Canis lupus familiaris: one gene and its partners. The protein of the gene in region 3 interacts with the protein of the main gene of each other region in a pairwise test. Links are inferred from orthologs where the notes say so. Each region holds a gene or a part of one and is shown on either strand. Other genes may lie near its edges. The genes, in order: ZNF414, MAPKBP1, TEX11, PPP1R18, NECAB2, NEFL and TSC22D4.

What was found.
Region 1: the proteins of TEX11 (region 3) and ZNF414 interact in binary tests that used the Homo sapiens proteins (3 or more experiments, as listed by UniProt). The two-hybrid records come from large-scale screens. The link is inferred for Canis lupus familiaris from reciprocal best matches to the Homo sapiens genes TEX11 and ZNF414.
Region 2: the proteins of TEX11 (region 3) and MAPKBP1 interact in binary tests that used the Homo sapiens proteins (3 or more experiments, as listed by UniProt). The two-hybrid records come from large-scale screens. The link is inferred for Canis lupus familiaris from reciprocal best matches to the Homo sapiens genes TEX11 and MAPKBP1.
Region 4: the proteins of TEX11 (region 3) and PPP1R18 interact in binary tests that used the Homo sapiens proteins (3 or more experiments, as listed by UniProt). The two-hybrid records come from large-scale screens. The link is inferred for Canis lupus familiaris from reciprocal best matches to the Homo sapiens genes TEX11 and PPP1R18.
Region 5: the proteins of TEX11 (region 3) and NECAB2 interact in binary tests that used the Homo sapiens proteins (3 or more experiments, as listed by UniProt). The two-hybrid records come from large-scale screens. The link is inferred for Canis lupus familiaris from reciprocal best matches to the Homo sapiens genes TEX11 and NECAB2.
Region 6: the proteins of TEX11 (region 3) and NEFL interact in a two-hybrid assay, tested with the Homo sapiens proteins (2 studies listed by BioGRID and IntAct). The two-hybrid records come from large-scale screens. The link is inferred for Canis lupus familiaris from reciprocal best matches to the Homo sapiens genes TEX11 and NEFL.
Region 7: the proteins of TEX11 (region 3) and TSC22D4 interact in a two-hybrid assay, tested with the Homo sapiens proteins (2 studies listed by BioGRID and IntAct). The two-hybrid records come from large-scale screens. The link is inferred for Canis lupus familiaris from reciprocal best matches to the Homo sapiens genes TEX11 and TSC22D4.

Annotation. Positions count from the first base shown.
Region 1 is NC_049241.1:53,455,301-53,459,256, forward strand, and holds the start of ZNF414 (zinc finger protein 414), read right to left. Parts: upstream 2,801-3,956; 5' UTR 2,645-2,800; coding exon 2,642-2,644; intron 1,915-2,641; coding exon 1,602-1,914; intron 1,270-1,601; coding exon 1,162-1,269; intron 1,048-1,161; coding exon 942-1,047; intron 402-941; coding exon 58-401; intron 1-57. UniProt on the Homo sapiens protein: May be involved in transcriptional regulation.
Region 2 is NC_049251.1:9,143,807-9,147,306, forward strand, and holds part of MAPKBP1 (mitogen-activated protein kinase-binding protein 1), read left to right. Parts: intron 1-341; coding exon 342-412; intron 413-555; coding exon 556-677; intron 678-956; coding exon 957-1,032; intron 1,033-1,143; coding exon 1,144-1,255; intron 1,256-1,435; coding exon 1,436-1,499; intron 1,500-1,753; coding exon 1,754-1,888; intron 1,889-2,104; coding exon 2,105-2,241; intron 2,242-2,452; coding exon 2,453-2,508; intron 2,509-3,500. UniProt on the Homo sapiens protein: Negative regulator of NOD2 function. It down-regulates NOD2-induced processes such as activation of NF-kappa-B signaling, IL8 secretion and antibacterial response. Involved in JNK signaling pathway.
Region 3 is NC_049260.1:55,153,188-55,156,687, forward strand, and holds part of TEX11 (testis-expressed protein 11), read right to left. Parts: intron 487-3,500; coding exon 322-486; intron 1-321. UniProt on the Homo sapiens protein: Regulator of crossing-over during meiosis. Involved in initiation and/or maintenance of chromosome synapsis and formation of crossovers.
Region 4 is NC_049233.1:625,434-629,584, forward strand, and holds the start of PPP1R18 (phostensin), read right to left. Parts: upstream 2,801-4,151; 5' UTR 2,667-2,800; intron 1,877-2,666; 5' UTR 1,844-1,876; coding exon 233-1,843; intron 1-232. Other genes in the region: NRM (nurim), read right to left, coding at 3,542-3,573, 4,034-4,151.
Region 5 is NC_049226.1:68,831,394-68,834,893, forward strand, and holds part of NECAB2 (N-terminal EF-hand calcium-binding protein 2), read right to left. Parts: intron 2,425-3,500; coding exon 2,316-2,424; intron 237-2,315; coding exon 211-236; intron 88-210; coding exon 1-87. UniProt on the Homo sapiens protein: May act as a signaling scaffold protein that senses intracellular calcium.
Region 6 is NC_049246.1:32,631,897-32,636,118, reverse strand, and holds the start of NEFL (neurofilament light polypeptide), read right to left. Parts: upstream 2,801-4,222; 5' UTR 2,618-2,800; coding exon 1,571-2,617; intron 496-1,570; coding exon 371-495; intron 1-370. UniProt on the Homo sapiens protein: Neurofilaments usually contain three intermediate filament proteins: NEFL, NEFM, and NEFH which are involved in the maintenance of neuronal caliber.
Region 7 is NC_049227.1:9,141,688-9,145,620, reverse strand, and holds the start of TSC22D4 (TSC22 domain family protein 4), read right to left. Parts: upstream 2,801-3,933; 5' UTR 2,440-2,800; intron 1,999-2,439; 5' UTR 1,720-1,998; coding exon 958-1,719; intron 1-957.

The DNA of each region.
Region 1 (3,956 bases), on a different chromosome or scaffold from region 3:
TCAGGAGTCCCGGGGGCGCCCCGGCTCGCCCTTCAGGCGGCCCAGTTCCCAACTCACCTTGGCTCTTCTTCCAGACTGCGGCGCTGGAGGCGGGCGGCCCGGGCGCCGCGGCCAGGAAGGGGCGCAGGCGTGGGGGACTCAGGCCAAAGGGCGCGGGGTTCAAGTAGGGCAGGAAGGGCCCGGTGGGGGCAGGGGCGGGGGTCGTGAACGGCTCGAGCAGCGGGAACGGCAGGCCCGGCGCCGACGCGGCGTCGGACTCCGGGGGACGCTCGGGCGCCGGCGGCTCCTTGTCGAGGGCGGGGGGTGGCGGCGGGGCTGGGCTCTGCGCATGCTCGGCGCAAACATGCAGATGCTTGAAGAGCGAGCGGTGCGTGCGGAAGCGCAGGAGGCAGTTCTCACACCTGGGGGCAGGCACAGGGCTGGGCTGGGCCTCCTGCGGGACGAGGGTAGGGCCTATCCGACGCTACCTGGGGAGCTGCCGCGCGACGGGCGTAGGTAAGGGAGCCTAAGGCCCAAATCACAGATCCCCCATTTGCGGGGGGAGAAGCTTGCTCTAAGCGCCCCCCAGTGTGGCTGCGACCTTTCCGGACCCCTCTGGGTCCTTGCCCTGGGAAAACGAGGAAGGAAGTCTCAATTTTGACTTAGGTGGCCACTTTTCTTCTAGCGGGGTCAGGAGAGACTGAATGCAAACACACCACGTATGCCCCGCCCTTCCCAAGCTCCTCGCTCCTCCCCCGGGTCTCTAGGGTCCCGTAACCAGGGTCTCTTTCAGGGCCGGTAAGGGCAGGTCTTGCCCGAGGGCACGCCCACTACCAGACTCAACCCACCTCCCTGTTGACTAGGAAGGGAGAGAAAGGCCTGGACCCCAGGTAGTGGCAATCAAACCAGGGGTGGGAGGAGCTGCCTGGACCGGTGGAAGTCGGCATAGGGGGGGGTCTCACTTGAAGTAGCGATTGGGTTTGTAGTGCAGCTTGCCGTGTGCCACGAGTTCCTGCATGCTGGGGAAGGTCTCGGTGCAGCTCAGGGCAGAACAGCGGAAGAGCTTGCCTGGCAGGACAGGGATAAAGGACAGAGGAGTGGAGACGGGTGGCCGAGGCTGGCCTGGAGGCACTGCCTGCCTCCTACCCCAAACTGCCTCCCCACCGCCTACTCTGGCCCTACCTTCCAGGGACTGTGTGGGTGGGCAGTGGGTACGCAGATGCTGTGCCAGGTCTCGAACACTGGGGAAACTGAGGCAGCAGCCAGGGCTGGAGCAGGGTATCTGCTTCCCTGCAGGAAGCACAGAAGGGGAGGTGTCACCCACTGTTCTCTCGTCCACGCTGTCCAGAGTTATGCCCCGGAGAGGCACAGATGAGGCTGGAACTACCCTACTGGTTTCTTACCAGCACCTTTACCATCTGCTTCCCCCACCAGACTGGGCTCCTGGAGGGCAGAGGCTGGGATGGCCTAGCTCATCACTTTAGCCACAGCCTGGCATACACTTGGTGCTCGCTCAGGAAATGGTGACTCCCTCTAGATGGGGCCCAAGTTTGGAGATACTCTGTACTCCTCTCTATTGTTCCAAGGCCTGTGACCCTCCAGAAGGCTCCATCACAGATCACCTGGTTGTTGGCGACGTCTGGGAGGCCTCAGGTCCTCGCTGGTCCCAGAGACTGTGCTGGCCGGGCCAAGGCTGGATCCAGGACCAGGCTGACCACTGTCTGGGGGTGAGGGGCCACCCTGCTGGGTCCCCCCAGGCCCTCCGCGGTCCCACACTGGGGGTGTGGCTGCCCGTTCAGGGCCTGTCTCCTCCCCCATGGAAGACGAGGTGGCCGCGGCGGCCACAGCTGGAGACAGCACCTCCTTGTCAGTCTCAGTGAAGCTGGGCTCTGCAGCGGCCGGCATGTCCGGGCTGGGCCCCGAGGGTTCCTCCTCCTAATGAAAGGAAAAGGCAGAGAGAACCCCTCTGGGCCCAGGTCGGCCTGGACCAGCCAGGGGAACCCCCCCCCCCCCCAGACCTTTGAACGTTCCTGAAGCAGCGAATGCCCTCAAGACATCACCAGGTCAGACCCCATTCTAAGGAGTCACCATCGGGGAGGACGGAGGTAAGGGTGGATTGAGCCTCCTGTGTTCCCATCCTCTGGTAGGGCACTGGGAGGGGTCCCAGTTGCATAAGGGGTAACTGTCTGGAATTACTCCTATGGAAGAAGCAGTCCCTAGTCCCTAACTTGGGACAGGGGGATGCCCGCCCCCCACCCCGACACAGCAGGGGCGTGGCCTACAGGGTGAGGGCGAGGCGAAGGCTACGAAGATGGGGCCCTGAGCAGGGCACCGCTAGAACATGCTGGAGGGGCCAGAAGGGATCAAGCGCACTACCCGAGGGCCGAAGTCTACCCACCCGCCCGCCCGGAGCTGCGCAGTCAAACCGGGAGGTGCCAGGGCCCCGGATGCAGAAGGACCAGGGGCGGAGCCCAGCCCGGTGGGCGTGGCCCAGTCGCAGCCGCGCCAGGAAGCAGGGGGTGGGGCGTCCCCCAAGTGACAGCCAGCGACGGGCGAGGGCCCGGATGTGGGGGCGGGGTCGGCCCGAGGCTGCGCGTGCCACAGGGCCGCCCCGCCAGTTCCCGCTGGTTCGCCGCGCCCGCACCCCCGGCGCCGCGCTCACCATCCTCGACCCTGGCTCCTCCTCTTCTTCCTGCGGCTCCGGCGGCTCCCGCTGAGGCTGCGGCGACTCCCTGGGCGGCCGCGGGCTCGCGTTCACGTCGACGCCATTTTCCGCCTCCCGGCTCTCGCGAGAGCGGGGGCGGGGCCTGCGCACGGCGCCCCTCGGGGGGGCGGGGCCTGAGATCTGGGCGCTCGTGGGGAGCTGCGCAGGCGGCGCTGGGTCTGCGAGCCGGGCTTGTCGGAGGGCGCCTTGGAAAAACCCTGAGCTCGGAGATCCTGGCCTAGAATCCTGTCTGCAAAATGGTTACCTTTGTCCCCTCCCGTCCGGTCACCAGCTCTCAGCCGCTCTTCTTTTTGAAGAGGTCGTGTTGGTTGGGCAGCATCTTCGGAGGGAAATCGGCAGTGACCGTCAAAATTGTCAATGCACTTAGTTCTGAAGTTGGAATGGGCTCCTTGTGATAGCCAGGGGCAGGAAGCAAGCTGTCTGTCCCCCGGACAGGGGTAGCCTAAGGATGAAGACCCCTGGGTGGACCTGCGTGGAACGAGTCACCTGTGTACTAGGCGTTGGGGACCCAGAGATGAACAGGACAGACATCCTTGACCTCAGGGGCCTGCTCACATTTTAAAATGGGAAAATAGACAACGAATCAACAAATGCAGAAAACCGCCTTAGTTACATTAAGTGCCACAAAGGAAAAAAAAAAAAAAACAGAGAAGGGAGAGAAGCGTCTCTGTGAGTTGACTTTTGAGCTGTAACCGGATGGTCAGGAAGGAGTGAGCAGATCAAAGGTCAGGGGACTCTGGGAAGTGGATAGCTGTGCAAATGTCCTGAGGTAAAGAGGGACAAGCTTGTCTTAGGGACCAGTGAGGGGATCAGCTCACTGTTGGATCAGAGAACTTGATGCAGAGAAGGTCACACAGGGCCTTGTGAACCATGGAAAGGAGTGTGGTTTCTATTCTCACCATTGATGTATTTTTTTTTAATTTTTATTTATTTACGATAGTCAGAGAGAGAGAGAGAGAGAGAGGCAGAGACACAGGCAGAGGGAGAAGCAGGCTCCATGCACTGGGAGCCCGACGTGGGACTCGATCCCGGGTCTCCAGGTTGGAGCCCTGGGCCAAAGGCAGGCGCCAAACCACTGCACCACCCAGGGATCCCCACCATTGATGTATTTTTATCTGGGGGAGGTCCACCATCTGATTCCTGGCTGTTGTTTGGAGGATGGGCAGTTGGGGGATGGTAAAGGGAATCTTTGATCTCAGGTCTCTATACATTATTTAACATTCAAGAGGTATCTGTTGAGTTCTGGGCAAAT
Region 2 (3,500 bases), on a different chromosome or scaffold from region 3:
TACATCTTGCCACCTACTACTAACATCCTCCATCCCCACCCCAACTGCCCCCAGCCTCCTGCCTCCATGAGGAGGGTGTGCAGGTCACAGGGGGGTGTTGGACAGCAGCTAGGAGGCCTGGGGCCAGGAAGGCGAGTGGAATGTAGACTCTTTGTCTAGGGAACCCTCAGGCAGACAGCTTGCCTGAGGATAGAGAATGGCTAGCTTAGGTTTGGAGAGAAGCATCCTGATTTAATTAGTTGTCTGGGTCATGTAGAAAGCTCAGCAGTGGGGTAATAGAGGAAGGGCTGGCCCCCTTTTGGTGAAAGCAGTGGGAAGAGCTAGGACCCCCTCTTCCATAGCCAGCGATGGGCAAGTCCGCATGATCAGCTGTGGAGCAGACAAGAGCATTTACTTCCGCACTGCACAGAAGGTGAGGGTATGGGGCTTCCCTAAATGGGGAGGGGTTGGGAGGTGGGGGTTTCTACCTTTTCCCCAGCTGAGGTTGTAAGAGTTGAAGGGGGGTGAAAGCAGGGCTCTCTGGGCCTGTTGGGCCCACACGCTCTACCCTTGCAGTCTGGAGATGGAGTACAGTTTACACGGACACACCATGTGGTACGGAAGACGACTCTCTATGATATGGATGTGGAGCCCAGCTGGAAGTACACAGCCATTGGCTGCCAGGACCGAAATATTCGGTGGGCATCCTCTTCTCCAACCATCTGATTGCATTCCTTCATGCCTGAGGGGGTCAGCTCTAGGTAGCTCTCTCCCCACTTCTATCTTTTTTGTCCAGGTCTTTGTGCCCCCTTGAACCTACAGGGCACTTTGCCGTACCTGAGAGGTGGTGTAGCCCCTTTGGTGTTGGGGAGTGGCTCCCAGAGAAAACAGGGCTGGGACTGAATGCAGGGGTCTCTGCCACCCAGCAGTGCTTGATCATGGCCTCCTCATGTGAGCAAGAGTATGCTTCTTTACAGGATCTTTAACATCAGCAGTGGGAAGCAAAAGAAGCTGTTTAAAGGGTCACAGGGTGAGGATGGCACTCTGATTAAGGTAAGGGCCCAGGAGGAATTGCCCTGGGCCAGAGAAAGGCATGACAGATATACTAGGTGGAAAGGGACTGGTGCTGCCCTGTCCTCTGCCAGCTGTGTGTCCCATCCCTAGGTGCAGACAGACCCCTCGGGGATCTACATTGCCACCAGCTGTTCTGACAAGAACCTTTCCATTTTCGACTTCTCTTCAGGCGAGTGTGTGGCCACCATGTTTGGCCACTCAGGTGAGTGTCGTTGCCCCAGTACTCTACTGCTGGAACTTTACTCTTTCTTCTTTTACTTTCTTGGGAGCTAGCAGAGCTGTCTGCCCCTCCCTTCCAACCAACCATCCACTTCCACTGTTGGGACAGGGCTTGGCTGGGACTTTAGGGAAGCTCAGAGGCCATATTCTTTGTTCCTCACAGAGATTGTCACTGGCATGAAGTTTAGTAATGACTGCAAACATCTCATCTCTGTGTCAGGAGACAGGTGAGCAGAAGCCCACTTCCCTGACATACAGATTTTTCCTGAGATATACACACACTCTTCCCCCTCCCCTCTCTTTGCATTAGTGATGTCTCTTGGGAATAGGGCTGAGCAGGGATATTTCTTGGTTGGGCCTGATGTGGCACTGGAGGGTGGCTCTGGTCTTCTTGCTGACCCATAGAGAAGGGGAACTAGTGGGGTTCCACTCCAGAGGCCTAACCTCTCTCTCCCTCACCTGCCTCTGTGGCTCTACCCAGCTGTATATTTGTGTGGCGCCTGAGCTCTGAGATGACCATCAGTATGAGGCAGCGTCTGGCTGAACTGCGCCAGCGTCAGCGTGGAGGCAAGCAGCAGGGACCATCTTCTCCCCAAAGAGCTGCAGGACCCAACAGGTGAGAACAGAGTATGAATATGGGCTAGTGGTGGGTGGCCATCTAGACTGCTTGCTGCCTCAGTGCTTCCCCTTCTCGCTCTGGACTTGCCATTCACCTGTACCTCCTGACTCCTGGATCGCCCAACACCTGTTTCTTACCTGAAGACCCATGAAGGTTGTTCCTCTTCCTGCATTGAGTTTCTTCTCTCCATGGCCTTCCTTGTCTTGGACTCAGGCATGAGGCGCCATCGATGCTATCTCCTGGACCAGCTTTGTCATCAGACAGTGACAAGGAGGGAGAAGATGAGGGCACCGAAGAAGAAGAACTTCCAGCTCTGCCCATCCTTGCCAAGGGTACCAAAAAAGAGCCAGGTATGTGGATGTCTGGAGTAGGGCCAGATAGGCACCAGTTGGCACAGTAGCTACATATGCCCTTTCTGGGGCCAGGGGTGGAGAGCAGGGCTAACCGAGGAAACCAGAGCATCACTGTGGCCACCCAGGGGTATGAGCTGGTGCAGTGCCAGGGCTCTGGGTGTGTGGGCAGGAGACACTCTCTCTGACTGCTTTGCCTGTCTCTGTCTAGCCTCAGTGCCCAGCCCAGCCCTGCCCCGAAGCTTGTCCCACTGGGAGATGAGTCGGGTGAGTCACCATTGTTAAAAATGCCCTTCCAAGGTCACAGGGCTGGAGGAGGGTAAAAGCAGGTCTCTCTGGGCTTGCCGGCATGTTGTACCCCTCGTGTCCAAGGAAGGGCCTTGTGGGAGAGTTTGAGCAGCTTGGCTGGTCCCAGATTAGGGATGATGAAGCCTCGGGAGTCTCCTTCTTGTGGGCCAGGTGGGGTGGCCTGCAAAGGCTAGTCACCACTAGAAGAAGTGCTCCATCTTTTCAGCTGCCTGGGGGGCCTGGGAGTAAATGTGAATGAAGAACAGGTTGAGATAAGGAGTAGACAAGGGGGGCCTGAGCCAAACAGAGCTATAGATCAAGGGGAGCGCCTGGGTGGCTCATTCAGTTAAGCGTCTGACTCTTGGTTTCAGCTTGTGATGATCTCAGTGTCATGGGATCAAGCCCCAAGGGCCCCCATTTTGGGCCCCTTGTTGGGCCCTGCTTAGGGCTCCACACTGGATCAGAGGAGAGTTTGCTTGTCCCTCTCCCTCTTCCTTTGCCCTGCCCCCTTGTGCCCATGCATGCACGTGTGCACACTCTCTCAAGTAAGTAAATATATACACACATACATAAAATATTTTTAAAAACCTGAAGTTCAAGAACATCAAAGTTTCAAAGAGTGGAAATCTTGAGAAACTGTAGTTCTAAAGACTCTAGGTTGGGGGTGAGGTCAGAACTTCCAGAGCAGTTATTTAGAAGGAAAGGGCCATGAGAGGACCAGTAACTGGGCTGCTACTTCAGAGCAGCCAGAAGGAGGATAAGGGCTGTCTGTGCAAGTCCCACAGCAGTCCAGCCCTCACTTGTGCCTTGTCAAGACTTCACATGGCAACACCTTCCTTGTCAGTAGCAGTTCCGTGGATTGGTGGTGTTGTGGGGCCTCTAGTGCCTTCTGACCAAGCCAGGGACTCAAGGTTGGACTACTGGTTTGTCCTTGATGCTGTGACTAGACCTGGGACTGTCCTCAGAATAAG
Region 3 (3,500 bases):
GCACAGTATCTAGTCCTTCCCTACTTGCACTGGCATTGATAGTGATGCATCTTTCCAGAGCTCTATCTTGGCATTCTTCTTAGATTCCATTTGATATTCCTAGGCTCCCCCCTGTTTACCATCCTTCCTAGTTTTCACTCTAGGGCATTACTGTATACAGTCCTCTAAGTCTTGCAGTTCTATGGAATTACTGAGAGGAACAATGATCAGAATCATTTTCCAGCCAAGGAAGGAAGGACTGAGTTATAACTGGTTGCCCAGATAGAACCTCTCTTCCCCTCCGTGTCATACCATCCACCTGTAGCCCTTTCCCTTCCTTACCTGAGTTTCATAGCTTCTCTTGAGGGAGCCAAGGCGGTCAAGAAAACGCAATGCTAGGCCACACCATTTTTCTGCAGATACATACTTGTTCCTGCCATACATAAATATTCCAGTATTCCAGGACTTGATCATCAGCCAGAGAATCTCTGTTTCTGGGTAGCCTTTCTGAAATCCAAGAACAGTGGGTTTACAGTTATTACTGTCACAGTCCTTGTAGCATTGACTATATTACTGCTGTGTCCCATTATTATTAAACAAACAATGGGTACTCTGCTAACACCAGGGAAGGAGCCAGAGCTCCTTGAGAGTAGGAGAAGAGCATCTTGAAGGTTTGTCAGCTGTAGAATGCTCCAGAGCAAGACCTCATGAAGTGATATTTAAACTGAGAAAGCACTGAGGCCCGCCTGGACTGAGTATCGGTCTCCCTGACATAGGAGAAAACCCTGTATCATGTTTGGGGCTCCCCTTAGTGCTGTCCTCAGTCAATTATCTCCCCAGTATCTATCTCTACTTCTCAGAGAAGCTTGTCAAGAAGTAGTTTTTATTGAATCTGTTCATTTCCTTGACCTTAATCAGTGTGTATTTAGAATAGAAATTATATTCGTCTTTAGATGTTACATATATCATTATTTTAAGGAATTGGCTCACACAATTGTGGGGACTGGCAAGTTGGAAATCTGTAGGGGAGGCCAGCAGGCTGTATATTCAGGTAAGAGTTGATGTTGTAATCTTGAGTCTGAAATCTGTAGGGCAAGCCAGCAGCCTGGAGACTCCGGCAGGATTTTAATGTTACAGTCTCAAGGCAGAATTCCTTCTCCGGGAAATCTCAGTTTTTGCTTTTAAGGTGAAAACTGATTTTGGAGGGTAATTGGTTTTATTTAAAGTCAACCAATTGTAATTTAAACAAAATATTAGTCTTTTGTGTTGACAATTTGTACTTAGCTATGAACAAAAGGGCCCATTTCTAAGATGGTCCCTTCACCTAAGCATAGTATTTAACATGGCTGATCATAAGATTTTGCAATAGTGAAAGGGATTAGTCTGAGGAGCTACTTTCCAAGTTCTTATATAGGAGATGGACCACAAAGGCAGCATTCATGTGCTCAATCCAGGTTAAAGCCCTTCATCTATACAACAGGCCCCAGAAGGGGGAAATGTGATAGAAGACTTGGGCTGCAGTTTCTTGGGAGTGTCAATGACATCTCAGCTGAAATTCTTTTACTCATTTGGGTCTATGGAAATCACTGCATTAAACACTCTGAGAAGGAGGGTGTTAAGAGGGACAAAGCTCTTATACTAAAGGACACGTAGTTGCCTTTGGGGAGACAAGGCATCCAATGTACAAAGAGGACCATACAAGGTATGTGATTAAGGGCTAGTCAGAGTGACAGAGGCATTAGGTACTCTAATTCAGTTTTTAAAAAATGAGCATTAGACTGGTACAGTCAGAGGAAGTCTAGTCTCTGCTTGAAATGCCATCCCTGTCCCTGTCTACTTGGTAAACATCTACATTTTCTTCAAATTCACAAGCAGAGTTAGGTACTCCTTTCTCTCTGCTCCCATAGCAAGCTTTATGTTCCTCTAATACAACTTCTATCACATTGCTTTGACAGTGTTTACATATTTATCTCCTCTGCCAGATGGTTGAATTTATGTCATCAATGCATGAATGAATGAATGAGCAAATGAATCAACAACCAAAGTCTCCCTCCTCCATGAGACATTCCCTGCCCCCCTCCACCATTTATTATCCACACCACTTTGTTCCTATGGCCCTTTGTTCATAGCACTACCACAGCACTTTATAATATCGTATTGTCTGTCTCCTCCACTAGGGCAGGGAGTTCCTTGAAGGTACCACGGCATCTATCTTTGTATAGTCACAGCTTGGCACAGTGTCTGACAGTGTTGTGATTTCAACCAAATGGATGAACAAATGACTGAACAAACAAACATGGCCTTAGGGTAGATGAGTAGGATTCAGATATACAGAGAGTATATGGAATCTCCACAGAAGGCAAATGCAAGAGAAGCAGATTGGTGCTTGTCAAGGACAAGGGCAGAGAGAAATCATACTAAGAACCACTGAACTATAGACTTTAAAATTGTGGGTTTTATGCTATATGAATTATATCTCAATACAAATTATATATATATATAAATCTCCATATATATATATATAAATCTCCATATATATATATATATATATATATATATATAGAGAGAGAGAGAGAGAGAGAGAGAGAGAAAGAGAGAAGGGATTCCATGTGGGCAAAACAGAACAAATAAAGACCTGGACTGTGCTTGAGGTTGTGCATGTCTTGGGGGATTGGAGTGGGGGCTAATACTTGTTTGGCCTAAGCAGGCAGTTTATGTAGGGAAATTAGTGGGAAATAGGACCAGAAATGTAGGATAGGGCTACCTAAGTATTTCCTAAGTGCTTTTCCTCAGAACATTAGTGTCATGAAAAACAGATGGTCAGTAACAACAGGGTTCTGTTGTCAAATATGTCTCGGACATGCTGCATTCTACATATATCCTCTTGGGGCAGTTTGATGCACATTAGTTCATTAAGTGTTTTAGAAAGTTTTAAAGAAAAGAAGTCATGTGACTGTGCTTCATCCAGGGTATGTATATCATTTGGAAGATAGGTAGGCTGTTGCAGATATGGACTGGAACTTAGGTAATACTTGAAATGTATCAATTCACTTGAAAGACAGAATTATAGAGAACAGAAGAGTGAAGAATAATGGAAATGTTCACAGTTGGGTGGTATGAGTGAAAAGATAACACAGAAGAGCAGTGTGAAAATAAAGGACAAAGAATTTCAGTGAAGAAGCAGTGGTCAATAATGAAGGCCAGGGTAAAGAAAGAAGCCATTAGGTTTGTCTAGCAGTTGGTAATGGTAACTCATAACACTGCTGAATACAGTGTGGCTAACAAGGCAGAGAGTGAGGGAAAGAGTGAATCGAGATAAGAACAGACAGGGAAGCAGAGCCTTGTAGGCCGCATTCAAAATTTTGGTCTTTTTTAAAAAAAGATATGTATTTATTCATGAGAGACACACAGAGAGGGGTGGAGACATAGATAGAGGGAGAAGCAGGCTCCCCACTGGAAGCCCGATGCGAGACTCAATCCCAGGACCCTGGGATCATGACCTGAGCCAAAGGCAGATGTTC
Region 4 (4,151 bases), on a different chromosome or scaffold from region 3:
CACCCTGGGAGACACACCCAGGGACAGCACTTGATTTGGGACAGAACCCTTGGGCTTGGAAATGAATGGAAAATGAGGGCTACAACAAGAAGGAAGGGTGTGCATAGAGGAGGAAGGGTAGTGGCAGGAATTAACAAGAAAGAATAGAGGAAGACAAGAATACAGGGCTATAAAAAAGAAAGGAGGCCAGAGAGAGCTGAGGCTTCTGAGAAGTCTGAGGGCTGCTCCCTACCTGTTTGTGGTGCCTTTCGGGGGACCCCTTGACAAGGCAGCTGCGGCTGAGGCGGAGGTAGCCCCCCAGAACCAAGATCTCCTCCGCAGTCGGGTACCGCTTCTTCCCAACTCCAGGAACTGCAACATCAGCCGCGGCTGGGGTGGCGGGAGTGCTGGGGGCTGCTGGGGGCACAGACCGCCGGGGGTTGACTGTGAAGGTGTGTCCACTGCGGCGAGGGGTCCCCACCCCTGGCCCTGCCTTCACCCCATAGAACAGACGGTTCATGAGGGGATCCCCAGGGGACTGGGGAGCAGGTGGGGCTGGGGGTAGGGGAAACAGAGGGGCTGTTGGTGGGGGCCGGAGATCCACCGCTTCCTCTTCCTGCCTCGTAGAGCCTTTAGTCCCAGCGTCCTCTGGTGGGAAGGGGGAGGGCACAGAGCTACAGTTCTGCAGGGTTCTCAGAGGCCTGCTCAGAGCCCCTGCCTTCTCCTTCTCAGCCTCCCCTTCTCCAGCCTCTGTACCAAGAGGCCCCAGATACTTCTCAGCAGCCTCTGGGGGTTTCTGAGGTTGAGTCTCTGTGTCCCTGGGTGTCCGTTCTCGAACCTTTCCAGAGTTCAGGGTCCATTTCCAGCCTTCTGTCAGCCTCAGGCCCCTCTCACTATCCTCCACAGGGCCGGGCCTTTGCTCTGCTGCCTCCACCTCTCCAGAGCTGCTCTCTGGAGCCTCCCTTGTCAGGGTCTCTGACACCTTTGTAATCTCTTCTGAGGCCAGTGTTGGAATTGGTCTCTCTTCTTTTCTCCTACATTCCTCCAAACAGTCTTTTCTTTCTTCTTCTGAGCTGGGCCTCCACCCTGATGCCTCCCGTTGTACCAAACTCTGTTCCTGAGACTCTCCAGAGTCGGGCCTCCATTTATGGGACTCTGACAGCTCCAACTTCTGGTTGTCAGATTCTGCGGGGCTCAGTCTACTTTCCACCACCTCTTTTCTCCTGGGGCTTTGTTCTGCAGGCTCTGCCAGTCTCAGACTCCACTCTGGAGTTTCTCCAGGGCTCAGCCTCCATTTCCGTGCCTCTGACAGTCTAGAGCTCCTGTCTCCAGACTCTCCTGGGCTCTGCCTCCAGTCCCAAGCCTCTGAAGTTCTGGGGCTCAACTCTCGGGCTCCCCCTATCCCCAACTTCCTCTCTCTGGCCTCCCTGGGACTGAGCCGCTCTTCTTTTGAGTCTCTTCCCTTGGGGCTCTGATCTCGAATTTCCCCAGGACTGGGTCTCCTCTCCCGGGCCTCCAAAGGCCCAGGCCTTCTCTCTGCAAGTAACTCTTCATTGCGCTGCTGCTGCTGCTGCTGCTGGCGCTCCTGCCGAATGAATCGGTTCTGGTGCACCGGCCCAATGGCTTCTAGGAGGACAGCCGACTCATCTGGGTCTGGAGGTCCAGCCTCTGTAGTCCCAGGGGCAGGGCTAGGTTCTCCAGGAGACAGACCAAGCTTGGCCCGGCGGCGCTCCAGGATTCCCCGCTTCCAGGCTGGCATCTGGGACAGACGATCCCGCTCAGCCTTCTCCCGGCCACGAAGGGCCGCCTCCTCCTGCCGCCGTCGGGCCAGCAGCTGTAGCTTCCAGTCCGGGATGGTAGCCATGGTCGCGCGGAGGTAGGGGTGGGAAGTGCTGGGCTAGAGAACAGGAAAGAGAGGCTCCAGAGGTCCTGGGGGTAGGGGGAGGGGAAGCAGAGGGGCAGAGGAGGGACACCGAGATGGGCCCAGGCCCGGGAGGGGAAGAGTGAGAAGATGGAGGGCAAAGTAACGGGGAAACAGAAAGTGAAAAAGCAGTGGGCCCGGCGGAGGTGGCGTCGCGGCCCTGAGAGGAAGAATAGAGATTCAGGGCGAGGAGACAGCAGTCAGAATTGGCAGCGCGGGGTTCATGGTATCGGGGAGGCCCGAGGATGTGAGCGGAGAGAAGGGCGGAAAAGGAGTCGTAACGAGGGAGGCGAGAGCCCGGAGCGGCCGGGGAGCGGGGGCGGGGGCGGCGCGAGGAGGAGGACCAGGCCGGGTTTCCCCACCGCCGCCCCAGAGGCGGGGGGCGGGGGGGGCGGGGAGGGGTCCGGGAGTCCCGCCGGGAGGGAGCCGGGACTGGAGCGGCGTCGGGGAGCCGGGAGGAGCCGGCGTCCGGGGAGGCAGCGGGGCGCGGGGCGCGGGTGCGCCCACCCCGGGGCTCCCGGAACCCCGGCGCCCGCCCCCGCCCCTCCTGCGGCAGCCCCCGGCCCGGGCCGCGCCCCGGCTCCGCGCCCCGGCTCTGCCGCCAGGCCCGGCTCCCGGCTCAGCGGCCCCGCGGAGCCCGCCGTCCCCCCGGCTCGGGGCGCACCGACAGGCAACCGCGGCTCGACGGGAGGAGCCCGAGGTCCGCGCCGGGGCGGGCGGCGCGAGACACCCCCGCCCCGAGGCCGCAGCCCCGCAGCCGACTCACACGCGCGGGGCTCCCACGGGAGGGGTGCGGAGGAGCAGGCGTCCGAGGGAGGAGGAGTGGGACCGAGGGAGAGCCGGAGACGCGGGCGGGGAGGCGGGAGGGTGACCGCGACCCGGGGCCGGGCGGGGGGCGGCGACCGCTTTGTCTGAGGACAATGGGGAGGGAAGGGGGCGCGGGCGGGGCGGCGCGGGGCGGGGCGGGGCGGGGCGGGGCCGGCTCCCGAGCCCGCGCGTGGGCCCCGCCTCCCCGGCTCCCCTTCTCGCGCCCGAGCCCCGGCCCGGCCCGGCCCTCCTGCCGCGAGCCCCGGAGAACGCAGGTGTCCAGGCCCTGGCCCCCGCCCCGCCCGCCCCGCCCGCCGCGCCCGCCGCGACTCAGGCCCCTCGAGGGACTCGCAGAGGAAGCAGCCGCTGCCCCGGCCGGGCCCGCCCCTCCCCAGGCGGTGGCCTCTCCCGGCCAGCCTGCGTCACTGCGGGGTCCCGGGCGGCCACCCGGAGACGTACTCGGAAGCCCACGGCTTTGGTAACTGGCCCCCACGACAGCCGCTGCCCAGTCTTTAGCTTCAGCCCGCGTCCCATGGGTCCCGGTCCACGGCGGGGGAACTGGGGACTTGGAGGAAGGGGGCTGGGCCTCGGGGGTGTGCCCGAGGGGCCGCCGCCCAGCGGTCGCCAGAGGGCGCGGTGGCCGTCCGGACTCGACTTCGGCGTGCCTGGGCTCTGCTGGCCTTCCTTCCAAAGTCAGCCCTCTAGTTAGAGACACACTGATGGACTGCATGCCATATGTAGAAAAAACGGGCTGAATTTTATTTTTCCGCCGCAGACGTTCCTCGGGAGGGCAGAGATCTCTTAGTCACCAACATGAAGGGCGGGAGGATCCTCTCAGGTTAGAGGACAGAGCCCAGGGCCAGCGCCTAAGGAGGGGCAAGGCCTAAGGAGGGGCTAGGTGAGTCAGCAGAGCTGGCATTACCATCAAACCTGCAGACCCTGATCCTACTCCTAGGAAGGGAAGCCTGAGGGGGAGAAGGGGATCCCTGAGGTGTAGAAGGGAGCAACAGTGGGAGGGAAGTGGGCAGGCCCACCCTTCTTCCTTAGAAGGACTGTTCTTAAGGTGGGGTGGAGGTGGGTCAAGGCCTAAACTGTGAGGAAATACTGAAGTTCCCCACCCTTCCTCCGTGGTTTGGTGAGAAGTAGATCTTGGGGTCCAGTGGTTGAAATTCAGGATTAGGGTATGGAGCTGGGCCCAAGGAGTGGAGGCTCAAACAGGGGAAGGGATGGCCCCTTCAGTCCATAGATTTGGGCCTCTGGTCTGAAGCAGCCAGAGCCCAGATGTTAAAGGGCTTGGGACCAGGTTAGCTCCTCACTCGGCCTCACCTTCCTGGGGCCGGGAGAGCAAGTGCAGTTTTCTTTGTAACTGGGCCCGGAGGTAGCGGAGGTCTTGCTGGTCAAGCCCATGAGCCAGGCCCAGGTACAGGGTAAGGAGGAGAGCAAG
Region 5 (3,500 bases), on a different chromosome or scaffold from region 3:
AACCCATGGCCTTCAGGACGGAGTGATTCAAGGTCTCCAGGGAGGCCAAGACGTCCTCATAATCCCCCATGTGCTCCACAAAGTAATCTGACGGAAGGCAAAGCAAAGGTCAGGGGCAGAGGATGAGGAGGATCCCACCTGTGCCCCCGTCACTCCCCCAAGTCCCATCCCACCACCCGGGTCCTGGTCCCTATAGAGGTGGGCACCTACCACACAGCTCCTTGGTGTCCACGTGGCTGCAGAGAGAAGAAGGGAGACTTGGGTCAGGCCTGTCCCGTCCCACCCGCCCTCCCCCTCCGCAGCATGCACGGCCGGGCTGGTGAAGTGCCTGCTGCTCAAGTGTGTGCATGTGTGCACAATCTCTCTCTCTCTCTTTCTCTCTCTCTTGTCCACCCCACGTGCTGGGCTGGCCCTGTGAACCCTGCTCTGCAGGTGAGGCTGCAGCAGGTCAAGGATGACGCCCCTCCCAAGGACAGAGCAGGGACCCACACCTGTGTATTCTCTGGCCCCACCACCTTCCTCTCTGTGCCCCTCCCCACCCCCTGTGTCACGAGCTGTTCGGGGACCCGAAACATGGCTAGGCCGGGGCTGGGAAACGAGAGGGAACGGGACAGAAGGTGGGGGGCCCAAGACCAGTGTAGGCTGCCCCGGGGCCTCCCTACCTTTGGGTCCTGGGACAGCCCTCCTCATCCCCATTCCTACAACGCAAGAGGATAATGTCCTTCCTCGGAGGAGACTGGGCACCAGAATGCCACCCATGCTGGAGAAGCTGCGTGTAGCAGCCTCAGAACAGAGACATAGTAGTGCAGGGTGCTAGCATCAGATGCCGGGGACCTGAGTGTCTGTGCAGGTTCTGATAACCTGGCCCTTTCTGGGCCACAGTTCCCTGAGAGAGGAGGGGCTGCCCTGGGTTAGAGAGCTCCTGGAACCCCGAGTTCAGTAAGATGCTTCTACATTCAGAGGCTTTGGAAGCTCTGTCTTGGAGCTTCCTCCAATTCACATCACATATTAGATATTCTGATAAGTCCTGCAGAAAGGAAGCTTGTTTAATTGTGCTTAAACTAGGATTTTACTAGTACTTTCTGATCCATATGAACTGTTCTGGGCAAAAAGCCTGTTCAGCATCCCAAAGAATGAATGGGGATGCTGGAGAGGATAATACTAAAGTCTTTAGAATTCTGACCTTCTGTGAGGTCACACACTCATTGGTTAAACTCTCCAACCAAAGCCTCCTTTCCCACCTGCCCAGCTGGCTCAACACAAAAGGCACCATGAAAATGAGTAAACCAAGAGGCTTGTGCTTAGCCCTTTCAGAGCTCCCTGGGGGCGCTGCAGGAACCACTCAGAAACCTCCATCTGTTTGCAGAAGCAAAGCCCTTCACTGGGTCTACGGCAGGAAGGGCAGGAAGCAGTTTCAAGTGGCCTTCCCCGGACAGGGACACCTGCCCACCCTGGTCCCCAGCCTGTGCCTCCCAGGACACTCTCGGTCCCAACCTCTGGTCCAGGCCATCACTGATTGTGCTGTGTCCCTTGCAAGCAGGTCTGGAGGCAGCATCTTGTCCAGACCACCTCCAGCCTGTCTCAGGGGACCCCAACTCATCAAATCTGCTCCAAGCAGCACCCTCGGAACTCTGGTTCCCAGTGGGCCTGTGTGGGCCCGAGGAAGGTGACCCACTGAGGGGCAGAGAAGGGGGCTGGGCCTCATCCTGCTTTGGGAATCCTGTGGGGGTGGGGGGCAGGGGGTGAGGTCGTGGGGTCGCATACCTGTGAGTAGAACAATAGAATGAGCACTTTGCGTGACTTAGGGATGGCTTAGGCCAGAGTTTTTAGCTCTGAGATGCAAGTTCCAGGGGTTACAGTGGGGTTTAGCTAGATACAGAGGAGTGAGGTTAAAGTCAGAGCTAGGATTGTATCTGGTCAGTCTGGTTTAAGACAGGAGCCGTGAGGTCAAGGTCACGGAGTTCAGGTCGGACTGCGGAGGAGCACCAGGTGCCGGGGTCAGAGCTAGGCTGAGTCGGCAGAAGGTGGAGGCCAACTTTCCCTGTGTTCGTGCTGCAGGATCGAGGGTCTGTCCCTTCTTAGCCACGTGTGCTCAGGAAGGACAAACTGCCAAAGCAATGCCAACTGCCCACTTCCCAGGTCACCCCGGCCAGTGGGGGCCAAACAGATCCGACTTTCGGATCAGTGAGTGTGGGGATGTTCTGGATCTCCTGTTCCTCCAGGGAAGTGGGAAGGAGAGACTGATGCCCTAGCTGAGGGGAAAGACGGTCCTCCCCAGACCCCCTGGACGCCCCAGCGACCAGGGCTTCGCTCACTTGGTGTTGTCAGAGTCGATGGTGTGAAAGAGATCCTCCAGTTCCTTCTCATTGAGGACGCCATCTGCGAAAAAGAGCTGGAATTCCTCCAAGGACAACTTCCCATCGTCTGCAAAGTAGGGAGGAAGAAGGTAGAGCAGCTGGTGTCTAAGAGATAAGACGTCCCCCAAATCCAGACAATTTCCAAATCAACAGATAAACTCCGGCCAGATCATCTCCGTCCGCCCAGCGAATGCCCAACTAAATGAGGAAACTCTAGTTCACAGAATATCGCCGACTTATCTGGCTAATTCCCAGACCCACACCTCAACACCCACTTACAGATAATCCCCAAACCGGCAACCACCACAAGCAGCAGCGAGTTTGCTGGGGCGCTCGTCCCTGATGCGCTCAACTACGGGAGAGCACCTGTTCCGGCAGGTGCGCCTCTCTCCTCACCTGCCGACCACCTGCAGCTGGGTGCGGTTTAAGGCAGCACTGCACGGAGGCCACGGGGTGTGATGGCCATTCTCCCTTGCTTCCAAGTGCCCACCCACCCCCATACTTGCATGCTCTCCAACTCCAGCACCCAGGTCCTGACTTGGGGGAGGGACACCCCCTTCCCCTCTGCCCCTTCCTCAGGACAAACTTTCGAGCCCAGACCTTCATGCGGCAGCAACAGCTGCCGACACTTGGCAGGGAGTTCCCACCCCGCCAGAGACCCAACCGTGAAGACGCCAAACTGCAAGGGAGGGAGGCATCCAGGCTGCCCAGGGCCCAGCACGGTCCCATCCTCTGTTGCACCTCTTCTCCGTCCACACGCAGGACCCCTGGGCACCAGCATTTGTGTGTGTGGGGCAGTCTCCTGGGCTGGGGGCGGGTGGTCACTGAGGGAGGGGCTCACAGCGGAAGGGCAGTGACTCTGGGAGAGGCAGACCCCACACTTCCACCCTCAGCCTCAGCAACTTCCTTCCACCTGGGCACACCTGCCGAGCTCCTGCAAGGACCTCCACCACCCCCTCCTCAACCATCTCAGCCCAGCTCCCGCTGCTCCTTAAAGGAGCCACACCTGTGGGGTGGGGGCCGTGGGAGTCAGAGGGAAGGAAGCCCCCAGCCCCTCAGCACAGACCCCCTTCTATTCCAGCCACTCTGCAATCAAAGTCCCTACAAGCCCACGTGGCACCCCTGTGTGGATTAGAAAGAGAT
Region 6 (4,222 bases), on a different chromosome or scaffold from region 3:
ACTCATCATCCTCCCCCTAAATACTACCCTTAAAGGCAAAGGAGAGCAGGAGCAGGAGCAAGGCTGGGAATTATCAAAACTTCATGACTGGGGATATTGTGCCTACCATCAGGAAAAAAAGAAAAAGAAACAGAAAAACAAACAAAATAGTCCTGTCTATTCCATTTAAAATGTAACAAGAAACTAGGAATAGAATTCATTAATATCACAGGGTCAAATTCTTCCCTATTTGTCTAAATACCTTCTTGGAAAAAGCCAAAATGCAAACAGTTATTTCAAAGGACTATTCTTAAAGGCTTCTGACTCAATATAAATGAAACCTGATTTTCTTCCTAAACCACAATGGCTGCTACCAGCCCACTGTTTTTACCTGTAAGCTGCAATCTCAATGTCTAAAGCCATCTTCACATTGAGCAAGTCTTGGTATTCTTTAAGGTACCGTGCCATTTCACTCTTTGTGGTTCTCAATTCATTTTCTAATTTGTTGATTGTGTCCTGTTGGAGGACCAAAAAGAAAAAAAAAAATCCAGGCATAAGTCCCAATTGCTATCATTTTAGTATATTACAGCTGCAAAGGCCTAACCTACATAAAACCAAAGTGCACTCCTTAGATAAGATCTCCCCTAAAACAACTGTCTTTTCTCTTTTTTAACCTTTCCTTCCTTGTATTAAAAAAAAAAAAAATCCAGCTCAGGAAGCATGAAATGAAAACCAAAAAAATAAAAAATAAAAATAAAAATAATTTAAAAACCTGATAGAAGAAATATTCTTCTTTGTTTTCTTCTAATTGCTACTGTCTAATGATCATCATAAAATGCCTGCAAAAAATTTTTGGTCGATTAAAAAAAAAAAACTTTATTTCACATTCATTAGTTAACTATGCAAGTGAAGTGGAAGAAATTACTCCATTGCTTTACAGGAGTAGGAAGTAGCTAGCTATAAAAGAAAAATGACAGTCATTGTATCTAAAATATTTTCTATGTATCAATATTATTTTTTTCTCCTTCCCAGAAAATGGAGATCCTTAGAAAAGAAATGTCTTTTTGTGAACATCATTACCTATTCCAATTTTGACTGCACTCCTGTCTACCTAAGGGCAAGGAGTGGTTGATAAAACTAGTCTCAAGCATGCCTTGGTCACAGGTAGCCTGCAGAACTAACGAGAGCTGTGTGCTGTAATTATGAAGCTGATGGTCCAATGTGGAGGGCAAAGCGACCTGTGGTTAGTGAAGGACGTTAGAGAGACAGGCCAGAGGCAACGCCCAGCTCCCATCCCCTCCGCCCACCCCACCCTACCCTGGCAGGGCTGGGCAGCTTTAATGCGGAGCTAGATACAGCTGCACCAGGCACGTCTCCTCGGACTGCAGTGGGGCCCCCACCCCCCACCCCCGCCCTCCAAGTGCCCCACCCCTCCCACACAGTCCCCTGGGAGCCAAGTTCTACTGGCTCCTAGCTACCTGCGGAGGCCTCCTCGGTGGTCTCCACGTTCCGGGCGCGCCCTCCCCCTCCCGCCACCACTTGCTCCCGCAGCTCCCTCCCCGCCCCCACTGCGTTGTGCACCGTGCCAGACCTGCATAGCACTGATGTCGGCGTTCTGCTTGTCCTCCAGCTCCTGCAGCTGCTTCTCCAGCGCCTCGTTCATGCCCCGGCATGCTTCGATCTCCAGGGTCTTGGCCTTGAGCAGGCGGCGGCTCTCGGACACCTCGTCCTTGGCGGCGCGCACCGCGTCGGTGTTCTTGGCGGCGCTCTCGGTCAGCACGGTGAAGCGGCTCTTGAACCACTCCTCGGCGTTCTGCATGTTCTTGGCAGCCAGCTTCTCGTACTGAGCGCGGATGTCCTTGAGCGCGGCGGAGAGGTCGGGCTTGGAGGACACGTCCATCTCCACGGAGATCTGCGCGTACTGGATCTGCGCCTGCAGCTCGGCGATCTCCTCTTCGTGCACTTTCTTCAGAAAGGCGATCTCGTCCATCAGGCTGTCGATGCGCTTCTCGAGCTCGGCGCGGGCGAGAGCGGCCTCGTCGGCTCCCTTGCGCGCCTCCATCAGCCGGCCCTCGGCGTCCTCGCGGCTCAGCACCTCCTCTTCATAGCGCGCCTGCAGGTTGCGCAAAGTCTCCTCCAGCCCTTCGCGCTCGCCCTGGAGCGCCTGCTTCTCGTTGGTGGCGTCTTCCGCCGCCAGGCGCAGGTCGCGGATCTCCTGCTCGTACAGCGCCCGGAAGCGGGAGGGCTCGGAGTGCTTCTGGCGCAGCACCAGCAGCTCGGCTTCCAGCACCTTGTTCTGCTGCTCCAGCTCGTGCACGCGCTCGATGAAGCTGGCGAAGCGGTCGTTGAGGTCCTGCAGCTGCGCCTTCTCCTGGGTGCGGATCGACTTGAGGTCGTTGCTGATGGCGGCTACCTGGCTCAGGTCGAGGTTCTCGAGACTGGGCATCAAGGAGCCGGAGCTGGAGGAGTAGCTGCGGCGCACGGACAGCGAGGAGGAGACCGGCGCGGAGTAGCTGGAGTAAGCGGAGCGCGCGGTGCTGTAGCCGCTGCGCACGCTGGAGATGTGCACCCGGGGCGTCTCCACGTAGCGCCGCTTGTAGGAGGTCGAGTAGTACGGCTCGTAGCTGAAGGAACTCATGGTGGCGGTCGGAGGCCCTCCGGCTCGCAGCGGAGGTGGGGGGGCCTACGGAGAGAGAAGAAAGGGGAGAGAGGGAGAGGGGAAGGTGGATGGCTGTGTGCGGCTCGGCGCGGTCCTGCCACCCCTATTTATACGCGGGGAGCATTCTGACGCAGCCTGCGATCGATCACGGCGCGCCGGGCCAGTGGGGGCAGCGCGCTGCTGCAGCCAAGGGGAGGATTCTGCGCAAAAGGGAAGGCGGGGGCGAGCCACAGGCGGCTCCGGGCTGCGGCGCTCGTCCTTTCCACTTACTTGTCTCCGAGGCCTGCGATTTATTTCCCCCCAAGACCCCTTACCCCTCACTCATTTCCCTCCCCAACCCCCGTCCCCATCCTAGTTCCTCCCTGGACCCCGCATCACATGGATGCGCGTCCCCAATAATAGGTTCTCACTCCCCCACTGACCTCTTAGTTCTCTGTCTCCCCGCTTCCTCGGAGACACCCTCACCCCTAAGTCGCCCCTTCCCCACCACGGGCCTCTGCCATCATCCCCGTTGGGGCTTACGGGTGACAAGGCAGTGCCTCTAGGGGCTTCGGAAATTGAAAAGTTTAAGCTTGCGTGTATTAGGCCTCCAAGGGGAGGAAAGTTTCCTGTTTCTTTGTAGCTGTTTCTGGCACTTTCTTTAATTCATGTCCCTTGCTCCCGGTGATTTTTCTTTCTGCTTAACGCGCTGCTTCTGCACGCGCGCGCGCACACACGTGAACCTGCGGCACTGCGGGTGTGGATTTTAGCGTTTCTGACCCCCCGTAGAGCCGTTAATATGAGCCTTCCAGTGTTCTAGATTTAATCGTTTCTTTCCGGAGAAAGAGTGTTTTCAGCGTGTGGAAGCGCGTAGGTGGGGGAGAGCCGAGAAGTGAGTTTGAAACTAAGCGGGGGTTGGGGGGGGGGGAGCCGACTTGCAAAGGCAGCGGCGAGCCCCGTAAGCCCGGCCCTTGGGACTGATTCACGCAGCCTGTATCTTCTCCATCAAACTGAATTCCCGCGGGGCACCACCAACTCCGACACACCCAGAGCCCCTTTCCCTCTTTTTTACACCTGTGTAGCATCAACCTGATGATTTCCACAAGCCAGGCAGGTGGCCGGTTGTCAGAAGGAGGCTGCGGCTGCCAGCCCCGAGCGCGCCGAGGGCGGTCTCCCGGGAGGAGCACTCGGACCCCGACACGTCTCGTCCTGGGGCATCCAGCAGAGAGCTGCGTGATTCTTCCCCCGGCTCACTCTGGTAATTAGATTGCAGACACAGTCAGACATCCGTGTTTCTTTAGGAAACACCCCGATACCTGAAAACAGTAATGCACATTGATACAACCCTGCGGTCTGCAGAGCATTTCACACGCACGATGCTACGGAGTCCTGGTTTCACGGAGCGATTGCAGAGATTTAATAGGATCACTAAGGTTTTTCTACACGAGCACTTCGTTTCTATTGAGTTTGTGTAAGGGGAGCGTTTGATGTGCAACTTACTAATTTTTTTTTAATAGCAAACTAAGGGGGGAAACAGGCTAACAGTTTGCAAAAAAGAAAAGCCGGCACCTCTTTCTTTCCCTGTGAGGCTGAGACGGTGAAGTG
Region 7 (3,933 bases), on a different chromosome or scaffold from region 3:
TGGTTTGTGCCCAAGGCCAGGAAGGGGGAAAAGTTCTCATCCTCACACTCCCTGCCCTCGCTCCTGAAGTCCAAGGTGTTATTTTCTCCTTCAGGACAGACACATCCATCCCCCACATCCCTGGCGGCCCACCCTCACCCCAGGGACCCAGGCATCCTGCCCCCCAGCCCAGACTTGTTCCTCTTTTGGAGACAGGAAGCAGAAAGACCAGAGGATTTAACTCTTTCTCCACTGCTTCCTGCCTCTCTCCCACTCCCTGGTGGCCACCCCCAGTTATCAATCATGGAGAGGCCTAGATGCAGGGGAGCGGAGACAGGGGCCTGAGGGCAGAAAGGACACACCGCCAAGCCCTCCATCCCACCTAGTTCATCACGTCCTTGGAGAAATTTGACTTGGGACAAAGCTGCAGATGGGGCTGGGATGAGTGGCTAATAAGAAGACAGACCGTCACCTTTGGAATGGTGCGTGGTGCGGCCAGGGAGACTTTCTTTTTACCCCTCCCCACCAACCTGGACAGCTCCTCTCCCAGAGGCCCAAGCACCTACCCCCATCTGGGACCTCCATCCCCCATGCCTGAAGCCAGAAGGGGTGAAACCAAGACAGAAGGTGAGGGCCAAAGTGTGAAGCCGACATCTCTGTGATGGCGAGACAGCACTAAGCTATAAGGAAACAGAGATGGAGGCCAAAGGTAACAAAGGCTTAGAGAAAGAAAGAAGGTGCAGGATATAGGGGAAGAGGGAGCCTGAGAAAGAAAACAAGGCTGCATGAAGAGGAGGATGGACTACTTCCCAGGAAGAGGGCAAGAAGAGAAAAGAGGGACAGACACGTGTTGTTGGAATGGGGAGAGGGTGGTAAGGAGGTGGAGGCAGGGAGGCCCAAGCTGGAGGTTAGGCCCAGGCCCAGATGAACAAGCACCACCCCTCAGGTGTCTCCCTGACCCCAGAACCCAGCTCTTACCTGCCCCATCTCCTCTGGAGCAACCAACTCCATCCTCAGCCGCAGGGCTCCATCCTTTGATCGGGATAGTGGAGGGGTCCCTGTTGCTGAGCCCCCAGCCTCCACTTCCACCCTCAGGGAGGGCAGGGGCGTGGCAGCCCGGGAGGGGCCGGCGCTATCCCCTGTCCTGGGCTCTGGGGGACGCTGCTGGGGTGGGGAGGCTGACAGAGGGGGTGTCTCCACCTTGGCTTTACCAGGTACTGCCAGCTGGCCCAGCCCCCGGGTTAAGGAGCGGGCCTGAGGTCCAGGGGAGGTAGGGGGCGGCCGGAGCCAGGAGGTGGGGCCCTGAGACAGGCCTGGCTGCGGGGTTGGGGCACCCAGGCCCAAGCTGGCCAGCTCCAACCTGGAATCCAAAGATCGGCCCCCAGTGCCCCCCGAGGCCCCTCGAACTCCTTCCAGGAGCCGGCTGAAGCCAGGGGTCTCCAGGTCTCTCTCGTAAACATCCACACACGTCCAACGGCCTCGACGATAAGGCTCTCCCAGGCCATGGGGCAGCTTTACCACCCGGAAACGGGAGGCGGGGGCCCCAGGTGGTGGGGAGCCGTTCCGGGGGGTGCTTTTGCCCCCTGGCTCGGGGCTGGGCTCCCCGTTAGGCAGACGGGGTGGGGGCGCGGTGGGGCCCGGCAGGGCAGGGGGCTCTGAAGACCCTGGGCTCCCTGGGCCCTCATAGTCCGTGGTGACGCTGGTGATTTGAAAACTACTCTTCTTCTTGCCCCCACTCATGGTCCCTGGGGCTCAGGACTCGGCCAAGGTGGGCAGGGGGTGCAGCTGGGGCTCCTCCAGGGGCTCAGGCACCCCTGGAACAGGGGGGCCACATGGCGGGGGCATCAGGGCCCCTGGGGACATCTGGGTCCGACATGGCAGGAGGGCTTTGCAGGAACTGGGGGTACTTGGCTGGTAAAGGGAGCACAGGGCAGGGGAGGTGGCAGGAGGTGGGGGCAGGGGCAGGGGCAGGTTTTTCCTGCCCCTGGCGCTGCCCAACTCCAGAGCTGAGTTTGCAAACTGGAAAGAGAGAGAGAGAGAGAGAGAGTGTGTGTGTGTGTGTGTGTGTGTGAGAAAGCAGTGGGCAGGCCACCTCTGGGGCTTCCTCTCTGGGGAGCAGGATGGGGGAGGAAGGGGAAACCACCAGAGACCCAGAGACAAAGAGACTGGCAGAGACGATTGAGACCAGGAGATCCCAGCGGTCCCACAGAGTAGGAAGGGGCGGCCCAGACCAAAGTTGGGCATTTCTTGCCTGGGATTCAGACTCACAGGACCGAGTCGCCCGACAGCAGGAGGGGGCTCCAGGGCCTTGGACGAGCAGGGGTGAAGCAGCTCCTCGGTCGGCCCCGCCGCCGGGAGGCCTCTGCCGAGTGTCCAGGCTGCCCGCACCCCAGCTCCCCGATCCCGGGCAGGCCCTGCCCCGCTGCCCCAGCGCCCCGCCCAGCCAGCCCAGAGCCCTACCTCTCGGCCTCGGCCACCGAGCTGGGCCGGGGGTCCCGGAGCCTACGATGTCGGGCTGTCCTTCCCGCGGGGGGCGCGGCGGCGATCAGGGGCTGTCCGCTTCTCTTCGGGGGCCGCACTTCGCCCCGCAAGGCATCTTCGTAAAAAGTTTGCTCGCCAGAAAAGAAGGGACCCCCGCCTCCTTGGTGGAGCCCAGGCGCGGCCTCCGAAGCCCCAAGGGTCCCGGGACTGGTGAGGGAAGAGGCGGCTCTGCCCCCACCCCGATCCTCCAGGTGGAGCCGCCTAGGTGGCTGGGGCGAGCAGGTCTCTCAAATCTCCTCCGCGTGGAACCGCTGGGTCTCTCTCCGCTCCTCGGCTCTTCTCTCCGGTCTCTCTGCCTTTCTCTTTCTGGGCTGTTGACAACCCCCACACCAGGAAGTCCTGCCTCCTCGGGCCTGCTGACTGCTCCTCTCCTCCTCCTCCTTCCCCTCTTCCTCCCCTTCCTCCGCCCTCTCTGCCTCCTGGGGCTCCCGGCCAGCTGGCCCGGGGCCAGGCCTGCCACCACCTCTGCTGCCACTGCTGCTGCTGTTCCTGCCCCCCCCCCCCGCCCCCCCCGCAACAGGCTTAACCCCACACCTGCTGGGCCCCAATCCTGCGTTTCCTCGGAGGGAGGGGCCGTGGAGGGCAGAGAGAAAAGGGGAGGAGTTTGCCGGGGGGCCAGGGATTCCCTTACTTGTAGGCACTTGCTGCCATTGGCCTACGGAGAGAGCAAGAACTTGCCAACCAGGGGCTCTGCTGGGTGCCCGCCACCCCATAAGCTGCTGCTCAGCTCTTGCCATATCTTCACTGGTGTTCACAGTAACTCTATGAGGAAGGTTCCGTTATTCTTTCCTGTCTTTATTTTAAAACGTGGATTATGATGACAATTTGCAAATGGGCCCCCAAGTAGAGAAAAATGATAAACTCCCAAGTCCCCATCGTGCAGTTTCAACAATGATCAGCTCACAACCAACCTGGGTTCTTCTATACTCCCAATACCTCTTGTTGTGCTGTGCTGGAGTATTTTTAAAAATCCCAGGCACCATATTATCCCTCTTCTTAGATGTGGATATTGAGACCCGGAAGGTTCCGAGAGGCTGTCAGTGGTACAGCTGGAACATTCTACACACTCAGGTGTGCCCTTGTCTGGCCCCTATATAAAGAAACAAAGAGATGTACTCAGAAATGTGCTGACTTGCACTTTCTCTCCAACCCTGGTCACACACACATGTATACATAATGTACACACAGATGCACCTGAGGACAAGCCCTACCCGCCCACCTCTCCCATCCCATCCCTTCTTTGCTATTGGAGAAGCCACACACACACACACACACACACACACACACGAAGGCCTTACCGAATTACCCAATGCCTGGAATGAAAAAATAACCCTCTGATGGCCACTTTCTCTTTTATGGCACCCTCAACCAACAATCTGAGCAAGAGCAGGGTTGAAAAGCCACATCTGCCTT